Linked DNA regions of Notamacropus eugenii. The protein of the gene in region 1 purifies or fractionates together with the protein of each later gene. This does not show direct contact. Links are inferred from orthologs where the notes say so. Each region holds a gene or a part of one and is shown on either strand. Other genes may lie near its edges.

The links.
Region 2: the proteins of NUP214 (region 1) and NUP88 purify together in Homo sapiens (affinity purification with mass spectrometry; 6 studies listed by BioGRID and IntAct, counting the BioPlex papers as one, with this or other methods). This does not show direct contact. The link is inferred for Notamacropus eugenii from reciprocal best matches to the Homo sapiens genes NUP214 and NUP88.

Annotation. Positions count from the first base shown.
Region 1 is NC_092872.1:482,961,302-482,969,215, reverse strand, and holds the start of NUP214 (nuclear pore complex protein Nup214), read right to left. Parts: upstream 3,256-7,914; 5' UTR 3,182-3,255; coding exon 3,077-3,181; intron 811-3,076; coding exon 615-810; intron 1-614. UniProt on the Homo sapiens protein: Part of the nuclear pore complex. Has a critical role in nucleocytoplasmic transport.
Region 2 is NC_092877.1:389,122,290-389,130,478, forward strand, and holds the start of NUP88 (nuclear pore complex protein Nup88), read left to right. Parts: upstream 1-5,133; 5' UTR 5,134-5,346; coding exon 5,347-5,664; intron 5,665-5,832; exon of another isoform or gene 5,833-6,034; intron 6,035-8,189. Other genes in the region: RPAIN (RPA-interacting protein), read right to left, coding at 51-162, 3,422-3,482, 3,594-3,746, 4,586-4,669. UniProt on the Homo sapiens protein: Component of nuclear pore complex.

The DNA.
Region 1 (7,914 bases):
TGTTAAGTAAAGTGTCTATATGAAAGATTCCCAGACATACACCCTTAATATTAAGATCCAATTAAACATCTTTAAGTTTTGGTTCTTCTGTAACCCGTCGGGGCATCCCATTATAAAAGGAACAACCCCCTCAAGGGAGTTTTAGAAAGCAGTGCTGCATATGGCTCCAGCGACACAATAATTCTATCATTAGTACATAATTTGCCCATCTTCTCCTTAACAAGAGTACTGTTAAGCCAACTAAAATGTGATACAATAAACTCCTTCCACAATTAGGTCATAAGCCCAACAAAAAATAAAATAAGGTAGACTTTTCCCTACTTTGAGCTTGAAGGGATGACCAGATACCTCAAAAGGAAGACCCACATGGATTATCTCCAACACCTCAGGAATAGCTTTGGTACTTACCTGGGAACCTTTGGTCAACTTAGTAACACTCTTAAAATCACGACTTCAGTGACCATGTCAGAGATTTTCTTTGAGAAAAAGACTACTTCACTAGTATTTCACTACATTCCTCTCTTTTCTATCTTACATAGATCAATAACTTGCAAAAAGCTCTTCACACACACAGTAGGAGTTTAATAATAAAAGTTTGCTGGACTGTAACTAACCAATTCTATTGGGATCCTCCCCAGGCCGATTCTGAATAAGAAGATTTTTGGTAGGAAAAACCCGAAACCCAGTGGCTCCGGCAGCGAACACTAGACCATACTTATTAGACACAGTAAGCATACTGCAGCGATCTTTGGACAGCTCTTCAGGGGCTTCAAAGACTCGAACCTTCTTCAGCGCTCTAAACTGAAAATCCTGTCATAAAGAATAAAAACAGAGAGTAACTCAGTAGTTTAAATGATGATAAGAGGTATTGCTTACCTGGGTCAAAGAGAGTTACAAAGAAAATCTTGACTTAATACTCCCATTCCTTCCTTGACTCCTTCCCTGACAAATTCAGCTCACCCTAGTTTTCTCTTACTCACTCACTGTTATATACTTACATATAAAGTCTTACTCTCTAATTATACATAAGTATATATTCTACCTCTCCACTGAGAGCAATGTAAATTCCTTCTGAATAAGGACAGTCCCTTCCATTTCTCTCCCCATGGTATAGTGGAATGAATTGAAGACTTGACATAAAGAAAACTGAATGATTCCAGCTCTGACACTTAGTAGCTATGAAACTATTAGAAAGTTACTTTTCCTCTGAGCCTTAGTTTCTTCATTTTCAATAAAACTTGTGCTCCCTTATGGAGATGTTGTGAAGAAAATACTTTGTGACCCCAAAAGATTATAGAAATGTGACTTATTACTATAGTCCCACAAGACACAAAATCTATGTACATAACAAGTACTCAAAAATTACTGACCAACAAGAAAAAGATTACTTAATTCTATGTGACATTTCAAGAAATTTTCACAATGAAATTTCAGCACATCAAAATATCTTTTGCCCCATCTCTGTCTACCTTGAATTCTACTTATATATGTACATGTAAACTTCTTGCAGGCCAAGCCTATGTCATTCTGCATCTCCGTATTCTCAACATCTAGCTAAGGATCTTGAACAGAAAAGGTACTTCTGTGAGTGGTTTTATACAAGGGGAGAATGTTTTCTGCTTTGCAGACAGTGGAAGATGAACTTAATTAGAATCAGGAGGACATAGATTTAAAACCCCATCACTGACACTTAAAAGATATGTGACCACAGGCAAGTCACTTTCTGACTCAGTTTCTAAATCTGTCAAATGGGGATCATAATACCTATATGATCATACTTAAAGAACTGTAGCCTCTGAAATAGCATTTACAAACTCAAAAAGGATTATGAGAGTTCTCATGGGCATTTTCACTGGTCCAGTGTACTACTGTGATCCCTTCCAAAAAAGCCCAGACCCACAACAAAGTTTTCTGTAAGTACAATCTGGATTATTTTTGGGCCTCTAAGATCACAGTCACCCAACATCTGGATGACAGATGAACCAATGATGTAAACAGGCTCCTTAAGTAAATCTGTACGTTAGCCTTAAGGATCACTATCCATAGTATTCTTGAGTTGAGAGAGGGACCTTAGAGACTATCTAGTGTTTTTTACAGATGGGAAAACTGAGTCTCTAAGGGGGAAGTGACCCAAGGTTGTACAATGAGTCAAACATCTAGAAGTCAGTCAACTAATATTCATTAAGAGACTACTATGTGCTAGGCACTCTACTAAGCACTGGAGATACAAAGAGAAGCAAAAGATATTCTCAGCCCTCAAGAAGCATGCAACCTAATGGAAGCAGAATCCAGATCTCTTCACTCTCAATTCAGCATATTTCTCAACCCAACGTTGACCCAACTTTGTCCAAGAGATCAGAGTCAATATTGCTTCAATGGCTAAATCCATCAAGGACTACTGAGCCAGAAACCACAGAATGCAAAAGACCTTAGCAACAACCTAGTGCTATCCCCTAATTTTAAACATAATGAAAATAAAGCCCAGACAGAGGAAGGGAGTGTCCCAGAATCACACTATGATTTAGTAGTAAATCAATGAATTAGAACTCATGGTTTCTGATACCTAGTGTAGAAATACTTCCCATCACAACAATTCATACCAAATTAGTAGCAAATCAGTGACTAGGACTTTGGTTTTGTAATACTCAGTATGGTACACTTCCCTTCACAACAACCTGTCAATCTAACTGTCCCTGCAACATTCCCTTCAGATATATGTAGCCTAAGAGACAAATTCCAGGAACTACAGAATATCAGTACTGGAAAAAACTTCCAAAACAACTTAATCCAGTTTCCTCCATTTTACAGATGAAGAAACTGAGGCATCGAGAAGAGTAAGACTAGTCCATTATTCTTATTCACATAAGACAACTTGAGATTTGGAGCCCTTCCACAACAGCATCTAAGATAGATAGTGATGGTTTGTTCAACCAGGTTCATCTGAAGAAGACGGTGCCCTCCAGAGCCATTTCTGTGTTTTCCCAGGATGCTGGAATTCTTCCACAAATCATTTCCACCTTGTGTCCCTTTCTCTCCAAACATATGTAAAATGGGGCCAAAGAATAATTTCACTTACTTCCCTTTGATTTTCTACATATTTGGGAAGAGGAGGTTGTCTGGATTTATGCCCCGAATATATGCTAATCATCTTCTTGGCTTTCGGAAATCTAAGACGTCGCATTTTGAAGATCCTTTATATCTTTCTCATCTAGCTTTCTGTTCTGGGGAAACAGCTACGTAAGAAAGATGCAGATGCTGAGTTTTTCCCTGTGAGGTGGGAAAGCACTGGGCTGTAGACGTTGCAATGATCCATAAAAAAGGGCAGTGACCGGACCTGGAGTCAGAAAATGTAGGGCGCTACCACTTATGACGGTAAGCAAATGATTTAACTTGTGGGCCTCGGTTTCCTCATCTGTAAAGTGGGTGTGGGGTGCGGGCCGGACAAGATAATCTGTGCCGCGGGTCCCTTCTAGCTCTAAATCTACGGTCCCTTCAAGACGAGATGCAGGGGTAGGGAAAGGTATCGAACCTACGGGGAAACATCCTAGACTCTAACTGAAACCCAAATCTCTGGGTTCCCATTCTCTCGTGCCCAGTAAGCTCTAAACTACAGCACCCAGCGCCTCGAGAAATTCGAGACGGGAGGCTCTCTCTCCAAGGCAACGCTGGGCCTCAGTGACGTCCGGCCAGGCCTGGCGCGGCGTGGCCTGTCCCGGTGGTACCGGTCCTCCTGCCCCTCCCGGCCCAGGTCTCATTGAACCTGACCTTCATCTCCCGTTCGGGGATCAGCGCATCCATCTCGTCTCCCATGGCACAGACTCCCTACAAGCGGGAGCCCGAGGAGCCGCCGCCCCCGGAGAGCCGGAGCTACAGCGAGGAAAAATTCCCTCGCTGAGCTCAGCGACAGGCTCCGACGGCTGCCATTTCCGGCGCATCAAAACTACGTCACACCCGTGAGAAACAGTCTTCTAGGAGGGTGGGAAAGGGGTCGATCCAACTCGAGCCTGTCGTGAGCTGCTGCTTTCCATTGGCCCGTCTGGCGCGAGCGCGCTGTGAACTGCAGCCTCCCATTGGTCAGTCAGGCTCGCGCTTACTGTCAGCCGCCTCTTTCCATTGGTTTACCCTAGGAAGGGGGTGTGGCCTGAAGTCCATCAGTCGTGATTCGCTGTTGCCTAGCCTTTCTTCCTAACATGCAGTCATCTTCCAGTCTAGGATCTTAGGGAGTTTCTGGACCGCGGAAGTTAATTTCCAAAATTTTAACTTTTAATTTGACTGATGTGACTTCCCATGTATAATCGCTATCATATTGCTCGCCTTCTCAATGGGTGGGGGATGTCGGGAGGAAGGGAGAGAATTTCGAACTCAAATTTTTTTTAAAACGAATGTTAAAAATAGTTTACATGTAATTGGGAAACATTTAACAAAGTAAATCATTTATTTTTAAAAAATTCTTCACGGATGGGGAAATGTCTGTGTGTAGCATATAGCTCAGCGTAGCGGGGCTCTGTTTCACGTCCTTCCCGCCGCGTGGTCCGCAATGAATGGCATTCATTCATTCATTCATTCAACACCCCTGCGCGCGGGCTTGTCGCCGCACCCTCTGCCAGGTTTGTATCCTGGATTTTAGAGAAAGAAGTAAAATCCCTGCCTGCCTTCCAGCCTCTCCACCAGGACGCGGAGAACTGCCGGGAGGAAGACCGCGAAGAGTTTTTAAGACCAATAAGAAAAGGGAAAGTTTGGGGAATTCGGTCTAATTCAGACCGGGTCTTCTTGTGCAGAACTGAGGTGTGGGGGAATGGAATACCATGTTTTAAATAAGCTTCTCTGAGTTTAGGTCTAACAGCTGAAGATGACACAGAGGCAAATTAGGACAAATCAAACTTAAGGCTCAAGAGCTACAAAGCGTCCAGTTGTCGATGGCTTCAGTGAAGGCGCTATGAAGGAAGTGGAATCTGAACTGGACTTTAAAGACTTGGAATTGGAGATAACACCTGACGTTTCTATAGAGTTCAAATTTGCAAAATCCTTTATCTACACTATCAAAAAGTATAGGTCGTGTTCAGATACTTGTTGTTCTTCTCGTCATTTTTTCAGTTGTGTCCTAATTCTTTGTTACCCAATTTGAGGGTTTTCTTGACAAAGCTACTAGAGGTTTGCCATTTCCTTCACTAGCCCATTTTACGAATGAGGAAACTAAGGCAAACAGGGTTAAATGACTTGCCCAAGGTCACAAAGTTAACAAGTGTTTGAGTCTAGACTTGAATTCAGAAAAATAAGTCTTTTGGACTTGGCACTCTACCTACTTTACCAACTAGTTGCCTCATTTAGAGGTCATGTATTCTAACTTCTTGGTTTTCCAGAGGAATATACTCAGCTTGAAAAAGGTTGTCATTCCCAATATCACATGAGAACCCAGGTCTTTTAAATCCAGCACTTTTTCTACTGCACCAAATATATTGGGGCAAGTAGTCTCTTCTGACTGGACAGTAGAGTAGGTAAAAGAACTAAGGTATAAGTAGATATAAGAACTAAGACTGGAAAGATGCTGTTGCTAGCTTGTGGATGACATTGAATGTAAAGCTGAGTTTGAATTTAGGAACTAGCAACCTTTGCAAGGTTTTGAACAGTGGTGTGATATGAGCGTATCTTTGGATACGGAGGGTGTCTGGCAGTAAGGGATGGATTGGATATGGAAGAGGGATTAGGGAAGATTTGATTTGAGGTTTCCACAGAAGTGGGCAGGAAGAAAAGGGGAAAGGAAGCTCATCTAGGTAGGCAAAGGGTGTACAAAGTATAAAGTACAAGCAAGGTTGAAGGATAATGAATTGGCTAGTTTTGTCTTTGTGCAGATTGGAGTTACAGTAAACATGATGACATCTAGACTGTGGAGAACTTTGAATATCAGACAATTGTCTGGTAACTATATGACTATGGTCAAGTTAATTCATTTTCTTCGGCTTCGGTTTTCCCCCTGAGAAATGAAAGAGTTGGATTATTTAATCAAGAATTCTTAACCTATGATCTGTGGATACCCAAGGGATCAATGGATAGATGGGGAGAGGGGTATGGATTGTGAAGTTAAATGGGGAAAAAATACATATTTCCATTAACCTTTGGCTTCCTTTATGTAATACTTTATATTTTATTTTAGCACTTAAAAGTATTAATCTGAGAAAGGGTACATAGATTTCACCAGATTGCCAAAGGGATCTATGACACAAAAAAGGGTAAGAACTCCTGGACTAAATGCTTTTTAGCGGCCCCTCTAGTTCTAAAATTCTGTGACTACAATTTATTCTGTGGCAGTAAAAAAAATCCTTAAAGATTTTTGAGGAGAATGGCATCACCAAAGGAATATATTAGGAAGATTCATCTTAATATATTATGTAAAATTGGGGGGGGGTTGGAAACTAGAGGGGCACTATGGAGGGTATACAGTCTTGAAAAAGACAAACCTACTAGTCAGGAGACTATTACAATATTAAGAGCATGGTATCATTTGAGAGACCTTGGAAGGGTTTCCTGCATTCAGATATCCTGGAATCCCAAAATGTCATATTTACATGGAACCTCAAAGTACATTAGAGCATACCAGAACAAGAATTCCCTTTAGAGTGGTCCCCACTCAAAGATGTCCAGGGATGGATGCCTTTCAAGGCAGACCATTGCACTTTTGGATAGCTCTGTTAGAAAGTTTTTCCTTGTGGAACATAAGATCTAGTTCACTCCGACTTTCACTTGCTCCTGGTTTTGTCCTTGAGGCAGCCTGTCTCTTCTACCTTACACCCTCAATCAATCAATATTTATTAAACTTCTACTATGTGCCAGGCACTCTGCTAAGCACTGAGGACACAAGAAATAAAAGACAGTCCCTGCCCACAAGGAGCTTACCTTCTAATCAAGACAGCATGCAAACAAATATAGACAAAGCAAGCTATATACAGGATAAACAGGAAATAATTAATAGAAGACAAGCACATTTAAAAGGGAAGGCTTCCAGTAAAAGATGGGACTTTTAGTTGGGACTTAAAGGAAGCTAGGGAGAGGTCATTAGTTGGAGCAGAAGAAGAGCATTCCAGGCATGGGGAAGAGGCAGAAAAAATGCCCGGAACTGAAAAATGAAGGGTCTTATTTGTGAAACAGCTAGAAGACCAGTGTCGCTGGATCAAAGAGTACCTGTCTGGAAGTAAGGTGCAAGAAAACTGGAAAGGTAGGAGAGGGCTAGGTTACAAAGGACTCTGCCAAAGAGAACATTTTGTGTTTGTTCCTAGAGGTAATAGGAAGCCACTGGATTTTATTGAGCAGGGAAGTAACATTTATGGGGTGCTTGTGTATGGACCCCAATTCCAAGATCACATTTCTCCCTAGTCTCAAAACACTTTCCCAGACAGTTTTCTCTCCAGTCCAAGGACACTATGCCTAGAAATAACTCATGAGTGTGCTCCTGTGAGGTAAACTATCCCTCCCTGTTCCAAGAACAAGCTGACCTCTGTAGAATTTCCCTTCTGTGAACAGGACTACCTTGTGCCAGTAGAATTCTCATGTATTGATTCCCAGTTATCATATACAATCCAGAGGTCAAGCTATAGACATCATCTCTCAAAGTTATCTTGCTACGGACATAACAGACCAAAAATACACCCCTTAGAAACTCCTTTCTCTGGTTTCCAGGAGTGAAAGATGCTGGTGACTAAGGTTGTACGATATCACCTAATTAGTGTATCTACCAGATAATCCACCACTTTTCCTATCTAAGCTTTAGCATCATTCTTGTTAAATTGCAAAGTTCCTTAAGCAGCTCTATTTGCCACATTAGCATTACAATAAACCTTTGAACTTCACTTAAAGAATATTTGAGTCTGTGAATTCATTCCAGATGACCCTTTCCTGTACTTTATTCCTTGAATCTCTCAA
Region 2 (8,189 bases), on another chromosome or scaffold:
AATGCTAAAGGCCCCAATTCAAAGCCGCCACCCCAAAGACTGCCACTTACCTTGAACACACTGGACATATGAGCCCATCTGTCTGTAGCCCCTCCAGCAGGGCCCAGAGACACTTGTCATCAAACCACAGACTCCTTTCATACTCCTCAATGAAGGCTTGTTCTGGAAGGAAAAGGAAAGCTACTGCACTCAGGGTGAAACCAATATTCTCTTCTCCTGGCACAGAAAAATGGTAGTGAGGAAACCTCCAAGTGTCCAGGGATAGGAGGAACACAATCAGCTGTGTGGGCTATGGAAAAGAGGGATGAGACTCAATGCTGGTGGGGCTGTGGAAAGTCAGGCCCATTCACATTTGGCAGTGCTTAGGATGCTTGGACCTAGTAACTGCTTGGGTGGGAAATGCCTGGAGGATCCTCTAAAGCTCATTTAGATGTTTCCAGAGCAACACATGGGACTGCAAAGCAGCCTAAATGCCCAATGAGAGGGTGGTGGTTGCATAAAATGTGCTTCATTCACATCACAGACTGCCATAATGTAAGAGAGCTACAAGCAGGAGGAACATAATGTAATCTGGAAAAATTTCTAAAGCGGGGGAAACAAAACACACACTAACAAAGGCCATTTAAAAGGAAAGGTGAATGAATGAAAAGAAAGGATCCTGAGAGGGAGGGACCGAGACTTGAAAGGGTTTTGTAGACTGAAATTCAGAAAAACAACACATTCAACGTGCTCAATATTAAATCAATTTTTGCTTTTTCAGTTTTCTGACAGGCACTGAAGCCACGCAGCTCTTAGTGTGGGACCCCAGTTCTACTCCTAGGTCAAAGAAGACAGTAATGAAATCTTTACTGGTCTGAAAAGCTAAAAGCAGTATTTTTTCTGACCAGCCTTATAGAAAATCTGACATTTCTCTGAGTTTTTAATAAGAGAATGACCATTTCCATGGTAAAGAACAGTGACCAATCACAAATTTATTAAGCACTTACTAGATACCAGGCCCTGTGCTAGGCAACAAAACAAAGTCCTCAAGGAGCTGGCCTCTAACAGACAATAAACATGCAGCAAGTGTCTTCCTTGGATGGAAAAGTTTTAAAAAACTCCTCAGTAAATCTGTTTTTATATAATAATTTCACATCCTTATGTGGATATCAATTCAGACACAGCTTGTATGATCACCGACTGCAAACGAACCACAAAGTGGAAGGTAAGAAAGGCTCCTGACCCAATGAGTAAGGCCAGGTCAGAAGAGGCCAGGAACCTTGGCCAGCAAACACTTTCCTGCCAGACAGTCTAGTATGTATGATGTTCCAGAGTTCAAACTCTTAGAAAACAGTCCAACTTCATGAAATTGCTGCAGGGAAAGGAGCCTGCCAAGAGGTTGGGGTAAGACCCAGGAAAACTGTCTCATCCTGTGAGCTTTTGGGGGTGAAACGGGGAGGATGACAATAACTAGAGACGGAACTACAGAAGCTGTTTGAACAGTGAGGAAGTCAGGAGGCAGCAATGGCATTTGGGAGAATGCCTGACACCAAAAGGATAAAAGAGAAGCCCATTTCTGGTTTACATGAGAATTCTAAAGGAATGAGTAAGATCATGGCCCATCCTGAGAGGCGAGTCAAGCCACGTATCAGTGCAGTGGAGAGGTTCCTTTGGCATCTCACCCACACTGACTACCTTGGGGAGGAAAAGATCATGGCAAGTCTCTTCCCATTCTATATTCCAGACTAGCTGGACCATTTGCACTGGTGGGAGGGGTCATTTCCTGTAGCCGTGACATCAGCTTCAGTCAAAAACAAATGACCAAATTGTTGCCAAAGACGACCAAGCCGACACCAGAACATGGAAGAAAGAATAATGGAACCCCCACCCCCAATAATGAGATGCAAAAATGGGGAGGTGGACACTCCAAAGATGCTTGTCACCATCCAGCTCAAAGTCCATGTCAAGGAGGGACAGCTTCCCTGGGGACAAGGGACACTCCTGTTTGCTGTGGGGGTTGCATGAAGCCTCATGACACTACAGGGCTTTCTGGAAGAGATCTGGAATCGCCTGAAGGAGTTTTGATTTTCCATCCACACAAGGAACATCAAATGGATGATGAAAGCCTATGGTCCAGATTTCCACCTGCATTTGAATGGACATCCTACAGAGACAGACCATCATATGTGTTTCTGGGACCCAGAACAAGGGGACTGTGAGCTGGGCAGGGTTATAAAGCAGGCGAGATAACACTAAGACAGTGCCAACCTCCTTTACTGACTGGAGCTTTTCCTACAGCAAAGACCCATACAAATATTTTACTTGTGTTGCTGCCCCCAGGGCAAGAATGAAAAATGAGCATCACGCAGAGGGGAAAAGGATCAGGCTAAAACATCACAAGGAACCCTGAAGAACAAGGGTCAAGCAGAGGATCACAGGAGCTTAGCGAGAAGTGGGACAACAAGATGGCCAGTGCACCTGGCGCCCAGGCCTCTGTGTGGGAGGACACAGAGGAGTCAAGCAGCCATGAGGGCAATGCAACCCCACTGTGGCCCCAAGCCAGCCTGGACATACAGAGGGGCATCAGACATCTGATGAAAATACATACTTGTACCAGGCCCTACGAGTGTAAAGTGTATAAAGAGAGAACAACCATCCTCCTCTCAAAACCCATGAGGGCATGTATGTGTGTGTGTGTGTGTGTGTGTGTGTACGTGTGTGTACGTGTGTGTACGTACACACTGACCCATACCCACCCCTTCACTCCACCCCCACACACTCGTACACACCCCCTGTACACACGTTCACAGACACAGAACAGGACGATTCCAATAAATACAAGCCAGTTAGGAAGAGAGGCAGAGTGTCAGGGAGGGGCACGTAGTTGGCCTGTGGGCTTCGGAGGGAAGTCTAAAAGACCTGGAACCAGCGAGGGGAACAATGAGTGAGCATAACACTGGCCATGCATGGGCCCACATTAGATAGATCCTCACCCAACCCTGCAAGGTAGGGACTACAGCTACTATGAGTGGGGCAGGATTAGAACTGAAGTCTCCCTGGCTCTAGTTCCAGTGCTCTGCTACTGTGAAAAAGCCAGGGCGGGCTCCTCCAAGTGGGAGAGGGGTGGAGCATCTGCTCTGACCTCAGAGGCCAAGGCTTCATGAAGATGGAGCACACTGGGGTGGGGGCGGATTCTAGCCCCAGACTGGGTCTCCTCCTCTGTGGTCCCCATTTACTGCTCTCCCACAGGCCACCCATGGAGCAGATCCTCCAGCATTCCCCCCAGCTCAGAGAGGGGAGGGATCTGCCCAAGACTGCCCAGTCGGATCCAGGCCCCTGATGCCTAGGCTAGTGAATCTTTCTCAGAGGACAAGCACAAAAGAACAGAGACATGGGGGAGCTGCCAGCACACAGGCCTGCCCCCAGGGACACTCCAGGTTACCTTGACGCATCAGCTCCTGCTGGATTTCCCCCAGGACAGCCAGTTCTTCAGGGTCTTCCACCTACAAGGGAGAAGTGTGTGGGTTCCTGTTCCTTTGACCCTTGGAGGGAGCAGAGGAGGGAGGGAACAGCCCTTTCACAGCACCCGGAGGATGGGAGATGGGCAAACAGACCTGTCCAAACGTCCTGCTGTGCCGCGCAGACGGCAAGGCCAGCCACTCGGCCTCCATCACCTCCCGGGCCAGCAGGCCTCGGGGAGCTTCTCCCACTCGGCGGTACTTGTCCAGGAGGTGGGCTCGGCTGTCCTTCATTCTCTGGATGCATCGCTGGGAAGAGAGGGATAAGTGAGCGTAGCACACAACTGGCCCAACCCAAAGCAGGCCGGATGTCCCAGGCCCGCTGCTGCCAGGGTCAAGCTGCGGGGCAGCCACGGAAAGGGGAGGAGCGGAGGATGGCCTCACCCATGAGGGGCACAAAAGGCCGTCACCATCCAGCACTGCCGACCTCCTTCGTGAAATAACGAAGAGTGAGACGGGAAGGCACGGGAAGCGGCGACACCGGGGCTTCGGAGGCCGCAGAGAAAAGAAGGGAGAGTCTTCGGGAATGAATCTGGAGTGGAAGGGGAAGGAAATGGGGGGAAGGCAGCAGGGGAACTTCCTGGAAGAGCTCTTTGGGGCTGCGGTGCCTGAGAGGGCGGCGAGGGCAGGGCTGCGAGGGCAGGGCGGCCTCGGGCTCCTTCTGCCGCGCCCGGTGGCACCGCCAGGGCAGTCCTCAAAGGGAAAACCGCTTCTGTCCAAGGGACCGGGAAACGTGCTGAGGCAGCCCCGTGATAACGGGGGACACTGAGGGCCCGGGGGCCTTGCCGCCGGGCATCCGCGTCTGCCCCAAGCTCGTGGCTGCGGGCCCTGCCCCCAAGCAGCACGCGCAGCCAGCGCCGCGGGGCATCGCCCGTCCGCAAGGGGCCCAGCTTGGGGCCGCCCGGGGCTCACACCCAAGCACAGCTCCCCCAGCAAAGCCCGAGCTTAGCAGGAGCGGGAGGCGGGGCCAGGAGAGGGGGCGGGGCGGGGCGGGGCCTAGAGCCAGGGCAGAGGCACCGTCGGCCCCAGGAGGGGTGCCCGCTGGGTATGATGGGAGGGGCGATGACCCGGACCTGGGCCGCACTCACCTGCCGGTACATTTCCTTCCAAGGCGGGCCCCCAGGGCGCTTGTGAAGCGCGCGCCGTCCCTGCCCCGCCGCTGCCTCCTCCATGATGCCCGATGCCCCAGCGAGGGGGGCTTCCGAGCGAGCCCGCAGGGCGGCCAGGGCCGCTGCTTCCGCCTCAACGTGCCCCTTCACCCACCGCACTGTACGCTGGGAACGGTAGTCCGATCACGGACTGCGCGTGCCTGCGTGCGTCCGGCGCATGTTGGGAAAGGTAGTCTGTGACCTTCTGGTCCTTTTAGGCCCCTCCCCCCGGACCCCCGCCCAGACCGACACCGAGGCCCAGGGCGCGAAGGTTTCCTTCCTCAGCAGGGCTCTGCCTGTCTTGGCCCCACCAGCCCCCAAAAGGAACATCACGAGGACCCGACGAGAATGCTCTGGGGTCCTTGGCAGACTGCAAGCTCTCGGCAAGCTTTGCCCACCCGGGCTTCAGCGTGCCGATCGGTCTAAACCACATTGAGCCACCTGGATACAGTGGCAACACTGAGATGGGAACGGAGGGGACTAGCCCCAGGGACCACGCCCTTCATCGTGACGCCAGCAGAGCAGAGTTCACAGCCGCGGGTTTGGATTGGACAGAAGAGCGGAGGTCACTGATTGGTCGGTGAGGAGGGAGCGCCGATTGGACGGGCACGCGATCGGGCGTTCACGGGCTGGAGCAGAGACTGGCGGGCGTTGATTGGACAGCAGAGGGGGGTGGGACCAGGCGGGCAGCGCGGAGAAAGATGGCGACTGCCGAGGAGGCCGGCGGCGATGGAGAGCAGTGGCGGCTGTGGCTGCCTCAACACGTTGTGTTCGTGCGGCTGCGGGAGGGCCTACGGGCCCTGAGCCCTCCTGCGCCGGGCGCTGAGCAGCCAAGCACGCCCAGCCTCACCCGAAACCTTCTCTTCGGGCTCGGCGCCGAGCTCTTCCTATGGGACGGGGCGGCCGGCGCTTTCTTGGCAGTGCGCCTGCGCGGCCCAGGCCCCGCCCCCAGCGACGGAAGCGGGAGCGGCGGAGGCGGTGGTGGCGGCGGTGAGGGCCCCGCCCTGAGCCGCTATCAGGTACTGCGCCTGCGCGGGGCGTGCCAGACGGGGCTGGTTGCTAGGCACTAGGGAGAACGGGCGTGCCGGGGCTGGGAGGGAGATGACGCTTGCTAGCAGCTGGCTGCCTTTTCATTGCGCGACTCCTTGACGCCACGTGGAGTTTTCTTGGCAAAGCCGCTCACTCGGTGCTTTGCCTTTTCCTTCTCCTGTTCATTTTACAGATGAGGAAACAATTAAGTGACTTGCCCAGCGTCACTCGGCCTTAAATGTCTGAGGTCTGATTTGAACTCGGCTCTTCCTGAGGCAAATAAAACTTGATGCCCAGGAAAGCACCCTCAGGGCCGTGGTCTGCGTGCCAGGCCTGCCAGCACCACGATGGACGTTGGTGGTAAGATCCGGAGGCGTCTTAGAGGAGGCGTCTGGACGGAGTGGTTGGGCTCCTGGGTGGCAGGGCCCAGCCCAGTGTGCAGCTCTGACCGTCAGGGTTGGGGGGCCGCTCCTTGGGCAGACTCGGACCCGGTCTTGTGGACGGCAGCCCCGTCTCTGCTGCGTCACTGCCCTTAGACCCTTCTGTAGCTCACACCTGGCAGGTTGGCGGAGATGACTAGGAGGAGAATGACAGGAGCTGGCGGGGATGTGGAGAAGCAGGGGCACTAGTGCGTTGTTGATGGAGCTGTGAGGCGATGCAGCTGTTGTGGTGAACAGTGTAGAAGTGTGCCCCAAGGGCTCATGAAACTGCATACGGAGCACAGGCGTGGAGTGCAGCCCAGCGTGGGGACAGGCGTGGAGCGGAGCGCAGCCCAGCGTGGGGACGGGCGTGGAGCGGAGCGCAGCCCAGCGTGGGGACGGGCGTGGAGCGGGAGCGCAGCCCAGCGTGGGGACGGGCGTGGAGCGGGAGCGCAGCCCAGCGTGGGGACGGGCGTGGAGCGGAGCGCAGCCCAGCGTGGGGACGGGCGTGGAGCGGAGCGCAGCCCAGCGTGGGGACGGGCGTGGAGCGGAGTGCAGCCCAGCGTGGGGACGGGCGTGGAGTGGAGCGCAGCCCAGCACAGGCGTGGAGGGCAGCCCAGCGTGGGGACAGGCGTGGAGGGCAGCCCAGCGTGGGGATGGGCGTGGAGCGGAGCGCAGCCCAGCATGGGGATGGGCGTGGAGCGGAGCGCAGCCCAGCACAGGCATGGAGAGCAGCCCAGTGTGGGGACAGGTGTGGAGGGCAGCCCAGCATGGGGACGGGCGTGGAGCGGAGCGCAGCCCAGCACAGGCATGGAGGGCAGCCCAGCATGGGGACAGTTAGGGAGTGGAGTGCAGCCCAGCTCAGGCGTGGAGCGCAGCCCAGCGTGGGGACGGGCGTGGAGCGAGAGCGCAGCCCAGCGTGGGGACGGGCGTGGACCGGAGGGCAGCCCAGCGTGGGGACAGGCGTGGAGCAGAGCGGAGCGCAGCCCAGAAGAGGCGTGGAGGGCAGCCCAGCATGGGGACAGGCGTGGAGCGGAGCGCAGCCCAGCATGGGGACGGGCGTGGAGCGGAGCGCAGCCCAGCACAGGCATGGAGGGCAGCCCAGCATGGGGACAGTTAGGGAGTGGAGTGCAGCCCAGCTCAGGCGTGGAGCGCAGCCCAGCATGGGGACGGGCGTGGAGCGAGAGCGCAGCCCAGCGTGGGGACGGGCGTGGACCGGAGGGCAGCCCAGCGTGGGGACAGGCGTGGAGCAGAGCGGAGCGCAGCCCAGAAGAGGCGTGGAGGGCAGCCCAGCATGGGGACAGGCGTGGAGCGGAGCGCAGCCCAGTGTGGGGACGGGCGTGGAACGGAGCACAGCCCAGCGTGGGGACAGGCGTGGAGGGCAGCCCAGCATGGGGACAGGCGTGGAGCGGAGCGCAGCCCAGCATGGGGATGGGCGTGGAGTGGAGTGCAGCCCAGCATGGGGACAGGCGTGGAGGGCAGCCCAGCCTGGGGACGGGTGTGGAGCGGAGCGCAGCCCAGCACAGGTGTGGAGGGCAGCCCAGCCTGGGGACGGGTGTGCTGTGACAGGGACAGGACTGGAGCGGGCTTCAAGGCGCCACACCACTGGCAGCAGCTGTGGGTTCCGGATTCCTTAACTCACAACCACCAAAGGAAGCTTCAAAGGTCAGTGAGAAAGCTCTTTTACTTGGGTGAGAAGGGAATGCAGCGGTCTAGCCCCAGGCCCCAGGCAGCAGCAGCTTCCATTGTTGGAGCCCTGGCCTGAAGCCCCTGGGGGAATTGAGTAGCAGATCTGCATCTCAGCCCTAAGTGACTGCCCTGGGGTGAGGAGGAGTCTTGGCAGTGGAGCTGGTGGAGGCACTGGAGAGGGAATCCTGCTCATAGACCAGAGCACAAGTCAGGAGAGGAATAAACTCTCCCTTGATTGTGCCACCTTGGAGGAACTGAGAACTCACAGGTTCCCAGAGTATACCCTCCCCTTGACAAGGAACTCAAAAGTCAAGTAACTGACTGGAAAAATGCCCAGAAAAAGGGAAAAAGAATAAGACAACAGAAGGTTACTTTCTTGGCGAGCAGGTATTTTCTTTCATCCTTTC